Daphnia pulex: one gene and its partner. The protein of the gene in region 1 purifies or fractionates together with the protein of each later gene. This does not show direct contact. Links are inferred from orthologs where the notes say so. Each region holds a gene or a part of one and is shown on either strand. Other genes may lie near its edges.

What was found. The genes of interacting proteins can lie anywhere in the genome.
Region 2: the proteins of serine/threonine/tyrosine-interacting protein B-like (region 1) and F-box/WD repeat-containing protein 7-like purify together in Homo sapiens (affinity purification with western blotting; 4 studies listed by BioGRID and IntAct, with this or other methods). This does not show direct contact. The link is inferred for Daphnia pulex from reciprocal best matches to the Homo sapiens genes STYX and FBXW7.

What each region holds. Positions count from the first base shown.
Region 1 is NC_060024.1:13,317,747-13,320,870, reverse strand, and holds serine/threonine/tyrosine-interacting protein B-like, read right to left. Parts: upstream 1,732-3,124; 5' UTR 1,609-1,731; coding exon 1,450-1,608; intron 1,363-1,449; coding exon 1,265-1,362; intron 1,198-1,264; coding exon 1,009-1,197; intron 922-1,008; coding exon 869-921; intron 794-868; coding exon 651-793; 3' UTR 553-650; downstream 1-552. Other genes in the region: mitochondrial import inner membrane translocase subunit TIM50-C-like, read left to right, coding at 1-7; E3 ubiquitin-protein ligase siah-1-like, read left to right, coding at 2,959-3,073. UniProt on the Homo sapiens protein: Catalytically inactive phosphatase. Acts as a nuclear anchor for MAPK1/MAPK3 (ERK1/ERK2). Modulates cell-fate decisions and cell migration by spatiotemporal regulation of MAPK1/MAPK3 (ERK1/ERK2).
Region 2 is NC_060019.1:12,535,991-12,540,132, reverse strand, and holds the start of F-box/WD repeat-containing protein 7-like, read right to left. Parts: upstream 2,838-4,142; 5' UTR 2,460-2,837; intron 2,375-2,459; 5' UTR 2,246-2,374; coding exon 2,078-2,245; intron 2,011-2,077; coding exon 1,862-2,010; intron 1,703-1,861; coding exon 1,345-1,702; intron 1,281-1,344; coding exon 1,095-1,280; intron 1,030-1,094; coding exon 631-1,029; intron 564-630; coding exon 384-563; intron 286-383; coding exon 104-285; intron 27-103; coding exon 1-26. UniProt on the Homo sapiens protein: Substrate recognition component of a SCF (SKP1-CUL1-F-box protein) E3 ubiquitin-protein ligase complex which mediates the ubiquitination and subsequent proteasomal degradation of target proteins.

The DNA.
Region 1 (3,124 bases):
ATTTTGATTCAGCAAGTCTCGTTTCTAGTATATTAATTCGAATAAATCACCGATCGAAAGTTTCTGAAAGAAAAAAAAATACTCTTATCATTGGGTCGAGGCACAGCCAAGAACGGGAAAACATTTTGTCCCATATTTTATACAGGATGTCAACCGTCCATATAAAGCGTCGTCGATACCTACTGTCTCGGTCGTTTTCAAGTTCTTTACTCTTTTGAGCAATTGTTACACTTCAGTTTGCGCGGTAGATGGGTTCACATTCCTTCAAGTGTTGAATAGAATCTGTAAATATTCCAGTGAACTCAATCGCAATAGTTTAAACAAATACTTTACCTTCGTTGGACTAAATAAAATGCTTCGACGGTAATTTACACTTAGATTAGTTGTTGCAATACAATTGAAGATAGAAACTTAAATACCGTATCGTATGGGAGTATTTAGGTAAAATATTAGGTGCTGGATTGATATTCCTAGACTGCATTGAATTATTAGTCGTCAAATAAATGGATTAAAGCTTTGGACCGGTAATCGACTTAAAAAGATTGCAAACCATTTGAAAATCACTTGTTTTATTCCTTCAAGGAACAGTCAAGAAAAAATTGTGCAGCATACGCAAAACGTTTTTATTGATTCTCATGTCGGATAACGCGTCACTCGTCCATAGCATCGTCATTTTCGATACTGTCTCGCTTCCGTTTCCAAGTGCTTTGCTCCCTTGAGCACTGACCATTGTTTGTTACACTCCAGTTTGCTTTGTAGATAGGTTCATATTCCTTTAACTGTTGAACAAATCCTATTAAGAGAGTTTGAGCTATGTGAGACTATTATTCTAATGAACTGAGATGCAACAATTTAAAAAAATACCTACCTTCATTGGGATTAATGCAAAACCTTCTCTGTTGCACTAAACTGAAAGCCTCTCTGTAAATAAATAAAAAAATTAGATCAGAGCTTGAAAAGAATGTCATGCTTTACTGCTTATATATGAATGAATGTTGAGAAATATACCTGTAGTCAAGGCAGTATTTTTGCATAAGAAAGCCCAGAACAATGGCAGCACTTCGAGATATGCCAGCATTACCGTGAATAAGAGCTTTGCCTCCTGCAGAAAAACAGCTATCCAAGAAAGTTTTAACTTTTTGGAAGTGCTGAATGATATTTTCTGTGACTGAATCTTTCACGTTGACAACCAGGTATCTGAGGAAAAAGTGCAATACAAATAAGTCCATACAATTTGTTCCTTGTTTGGAATAATTTAATTTACTGGAATTTATCAACAAAATGTGTTTTGATCATGTGAGATTCAATGTCTTGTCTAACACAAACGATATGAGTGATTCCGTGAGTCTCAAGATAGTTCTCCTGGGGTTTAAAAAAATAAGAAGGTAATGTTGTTATACTTATTACATTGGCTAATGCAAGAATAAAAGATCTATGCAAACCATATACTTTGGATCGAACTGCAACCGAGTAGGGCCCAAGGAACAATCCTTTGACAATTTCTTGCATTTCCCTTCTCATCGAATATGTCCAATCGTTAGGTTCTTGGAAATCAGCCGTTATCGACGAGGCCGAAAGTATGTCGTGACTATTTGTCTGAACTTCCATTGAGGCGACTATTAAGACTATTAAGAATAAAAAGAAAAACTGTAAACACTAAGCCTGCGTTTTGAAACGAAAACTTTTTGTTTTTTTTTCACTCTGCTGTCTGATAATCGATGTTTAAGAGAATCGATTTTTCCAAGCAGACTAGAAATTTTCTTTTTGGCGGTTCGAGAGTCGAGTTCAACCTTTTATTGGCGGTTCAAGTTCAATACGTTGTTTCTTGTTTATAAATAGACGTCTGGCATGTGTCAGACAGCTTCCCTTTAAAGACGGGAAGATTTTGTCACTCGTCTCAGACCCGTTTCTTTGCTTGAGCCGTTTCGACACGATTACTCAGTTCTCTAAATTGTAAGTATTTTTTTCGATTGTTCCGAGGCAAACCAATTTCTTTATAACGAAAAAGTAAAGTTATTTTGCTTGTTAGATTGCCAGTTGCCCAGTTCGTAACAATAACAAGAATGTCGAATGGAAAGTCTTTAAAAATTACGGCTGAGGACAAAGACGGAGTTCGCACAAGATCTACTGTTATTCGATCGGAAAATTTCGGTCACGGATCAAAAGTTTCCATATCCAGTGAAGAGAAAAGACAGATGGGAGCAGGCAGAGGCAGTGATGTTAGTCATGTCTTTGCTAACATGCTTGGAGGATCGGGAAAAGACAAAGATAATCTTTTCCTATCATCCCCAAATTTCAACAGAGGTGCTTACAAAGAAAATGAATTTGAAACCAGGAAATTCATTAGAACTACCGAAAAGTATCACCCAGGAAAACAAGTAGAAGCTCACACAAAGGTCACCATACACCCCAGCAGCAATTCGGGAGCCGATCCTCGCATGAAGTATGATGTCACCTCGCACATTGACGGCAAAGAAGGGCCAAGTTACACTACGTTTTTTAATTTTTTTGGCAAGAAATGAGGTCAACTGCGATGGGGATTTTCAATCGAAGATCATATATATTCAATTATTCAAATAAAAAGTTCGCTACTTTAAATTTTTTAAAGTTATCTTACACCGCTTTTTGATCAAAATTTTTTCTAATACAATTCTTTTCACTGCTTTAGTCATTTGTTTTGTATTTTCTTATTCTACAATTTTTTACTTTTTGCGTCAAATAAAAGAGTAAAAATTACAGAGAGAAAGGCAGAAAGGGCGTTTTTCAGTTAATCGATATTTAAGAAATGAATCGATTTGCCCAAGCAGACTACGTAAAAACTTTTTGTTTTTCTTTTGTGAGTTGGTGACCCTCTCTCCTAGGTTCCACATCCACACCCTTTTTCTTATTTGTCTAGGCTGTTCTACAGCATTTTATGTAAATTTCAAGGCCACTTTTAATTTTACTTACCACTTAAAGATGAAAAGATATTCCGATAACATGAGTCCTGGTCGTTGGAAACGAATCTGTCCACCTGCCCACGATTCCGATAGTGATAGCAGCTCATCAGACTCTGACGGAAACATAAATTCTTGTAAGAATTATTTTGTAAAAAACTCTTTGGTGATTTTTAAATATAGTTTAT
Region 2 (4,142 bases), on another chromosome or scaffold:
TTGCATCCCGTGACCCGCTCACCACCCTACATTCATTTTTGATCAAGGAAAACAGTTGAATTAGTAAGAGTGCTTGCTACAAATATCTGATAAAAAGACTGACTTATTTCCGTGTAAATGCATGCAACGGACAGTGGAGGTGTGGCCGTATAATGTGTGCAAACACTGTCCAGACTCAGCGTTCCAGACTTTTAAGGTTCTGTCTGTACTCCCGCTGACTATAATATTTCCCTGCATTTGAGAGGACCAAACGCCTCCCGTATGTCCCTGCAGAGTCCTCATGCACTGTTGAGTGAAATGACAATTAAATGGTTGTCTGTTCTTAAGACATTTCGCGTTTTTAAAGTCTTTGTCCTGTCTAGGCAGAAAGCCCAATGAATTACCTTTCCCGTAGTAGCCGACCAGACTTTGAGCGTGTTGTCATCCGATCCCGAAACGATGCGGTTTCCGCAAAACTGTAAGCAGGTGATGACGTGATCGTCATGACCTTTCAATACCCTTGGCTGTGGGATCGGCCTCACTCGCCAATTCAACTCAATATTTCGGTGACGCATATAAGTCGCCTGAAAATGCAACGAATCAATATTATCTTGCAACCTATTAACGTTTAAGCCAGATTGATCTATTCACCTTCCAGGGTGACGGAGTAATAATTGGTGCATTGTTTTGGCTAGATCCGGTGGGGGAAGAAAGACCACAACTGAGAGATGAGTGGTGGGAAGATCCGCGAAGACGTCGCTTATTTAGAGTATCACGAACGTCATCGATACCCGCTTCACGACATTTTTCTCGCCAGAGGAGATTATCTTCAGCCAAGACTCTCCAACAACGGCAGGTTTGTGCGGCGCGAGTCAAGTCGCGAGGCGTGAGGAAACTGAGAACATACAGAGCCAGTTCTTTGGGCAGCAGCGATATGAAATCGCGTTGGAACTGTGGTTCAATAACAGCCATCATGTGACGGACCTGAGTGGGTTCACACAGCTCTATCAGTTGGTCAATGGCACATAAACGCTCAGCGTTCGACCAGTACTGCAATGATAACAAATGGTTTTTCTTAGCAATGAGTTAGTGGTTGAGAGAATGACGAAAAATACTTGGAACGTGTGAAGCCACTGGCAAAATCCTGGCGGAGGATTGTCTTTCGAGGGAATCGGATTACGGTGAACATGGCAGTAGATTGACGAGGAAGATGAATCAACACCTTCACCCCTTCGACATGTTTTTTTCTCCGTGGCTACTTCAGCTGCCATCTCAGCTGTCGACTCCGACTTGCGCTTGGTCTACAACACACCACCTTAATTAAATTCATGTTCTTAATAACAAATAAGTGTTGGATAAACTTACAGCTCCTGGTCTGGCGACGTCATCATTCTCCGAGGTGGGTGATTCCTCTTTAACGGATACATTGCTGGCGTCGTTGGCAGGAGCAGTAGGTGTCGATGATGTAGGTGTTGTGGGGAGAGGAGGAGGCGATTGAATGATGCTATCGTTGCTCCGAGTCTGTCGAAGCGAAGGCGATTTGCCAACGGGCAGTGGATTTATTCTGCTTGTTGACCGGCGCTGCCTCAAACGGCAAGCACCCCATTCGTTGCTGCTGCTACTTCCACTGTCGTTTTGCTGGTCTTCTGTCGCGTTATCACTTGAACTAGATATCACTGGTGTGGTGCTCGGAGTCGGTTGAGCGCTTGTATTATCACTGCTTCTAGGGCAACAACAAAACATGTTTAGAATCAAATGACGCATTTTTGCCTAATCCAAAGAACAAAGGCTTAGATAAGAGTAACAATAAAGAAATATACCTACACTAATAGCAAAACCATGAGAAGGGGGTATAAATTTAGTATTGTATAACACTATTTACCTGCTCCGAGTGTTGGCTTTTCTTGCATTCACCTGAGACGACTGAGCTGGTACTGATATTGTTAGTATCTGACGATTGGCTTCAATCAAATTTGTCCCCACACCTGGAGCCAGACTTAGATCTTCGATGGATGTAAATCCTCCAAGGGACTACAAAGGAAAAACACATGTCAAAACCATATAAAACACACTGGTGTTGGGTTAATCCTAAACTTACATTTCTGGTTTCCACAATGGCTTCAGCTCTGCTGCGTCCAACTCCAACCAAGGTGGAAAGCTCTTCAACAGTAGCCACATTGATGTCTACCAGGTTTCTCTGAGCTAGACTTTCATTAGCAGTGTCGCCCATGCCCCTCCCACTACTCCGTCCTCTGGACGCTGGCATAAATTATTTCTGCTGGGTTTCTGACTGCTACGTAAGCTAGAGATTGAGAAGCTGAGCTATTACTAGGAAACCAAAACACAGCTGCCTAGACAACAACTCATATCCTCAATTAAACACTAGTCATCTCATCTGCCAAGAAAGAAGATTCAATGTTGTTAATAAAGGTTTCTTTTTATAACAATAATGAAACAAAGCAAGAATGATTCACACTTACCGTCGATAAAAATCCAGTGAAAAGTGCAGCGAAAATTATAATGGCGTTACGAGTCAAAAAGTGCAATCAAAATAAAAGTAGAATCTTTTTAATGATATGGGCGAGGGCTTGATAGTGTGTAGTGTTTTGGGAACAAGGGCAGACCTTTAAAATGCGATTTTGAAAATATTCCGCAAGCACGGGTGGGCAAAAACAACTTAATCAAATAAAGGATTTAAAATAGAAAAAATCTAGCACTAAAATGATTCGGGCATTTCGATTTCACAAAGAGCGTAAATATAGAAAAAAATTTGTACACGAGGATCAGCATCAAAGAGAATTTTGTTTCACACGAATGGTGAAGCCGAGACAGACAACGATATATGCTGGACTAAAAAGCGTTGCCAAATTGCTTGTTAACATTTCCCAGTTGCTGGACGCGCCCTGTGGTCGTCATCACATGCGCTTTTTTCTTTATTTCGCTTAGAATCTCGTAGCAAAACCCACTTGACACGTTTACAGTGTTACTATCGAATTTATAGTGGTAATTATTATCCTTTTTTAAACAACAAAGCTAGGCGGTTTTTTAAAGGCCAATACGTGGGCCTACCTCATTTCATCTTTCCCGCCTTTCTTTGTACATACATCCCCCACCCTTAATAATATTTTTGTATTGCATTACTATCAAAGAGTATTATATCATATTTTTTTTTAAGTTTCTAACTGTTCAGTTCTTGAAACTTCAACGGATCATCATCGCTATTCATCGTTCCCCCTCCTGAAATGTCCCCCTTGAATCTCTTCATACCATCAGCCCTTTACAGATCCAACTGAATTAAAGCCACAATTTCAATAACAATGGAAGTTTTGGTGCAAATTGTTTCTCAAGCATTTCAACTCTGTTGAAAACGTTACTGCGTAATGTTGAGTTCTAGTTCTCTCATACGGTTGGACGAAAGTTGAACCCGATTCAACCAATAGCCAGTTAAGTATTCATCCAACTAAATTGTGTATCTATATTTTTGTACACATTATAGCAGCTACGCAGTGTTAAAGGGCGCCCGAATCTTGCTTTTTCTAGCTATCGCTAGATGACTCGCGATGAATTATAAACGTTCGATATAAGAAATTCAAACTGCTACTTACGCGATATCTCGCAGGTTTTTTAAAAGTTGAAGGTTCGTCCTCATTAATAATATAATTGTAACAAATTTTCGTTTTTCTCTGATTGTTACAATATTCAATTCCGTTTATTGCCCCATGACATTCAAAATTTCTCGGATTCGGAGTGATAGCTGCTACCGTATTAGCATTAACTTTTCAAAAAGATCATTAGTAAGCGCAGCACAAAACATTCGGTGATCTTGTGTTGAATGTTGAATTCGCTCTTTCATCGGGCATTATCGTCGCTTCCCCAGTCATGAAAATAGGTCGCTCATTGAATTGCCAAGAAACTTTGATGCACATTTTGTGTGGGCATTGAGAAATCTATATATTTTTTAATAAACCAGCAATTGGTCTTTGACCGGTTCATTTAAGTGCAGAAGCACCGGATTGAAGAGGTGTGAGGTTAGGCGCGCCTATTTAAACAATGGAGTCGTCGTTGCAGCTAACGAACATACGTTGCGTCATTTGATAGTGTTCGATTGTGAATGACGAACGAGACCAACATGCGCTACGGTTTACTGGGTCTGTTTTATGTTG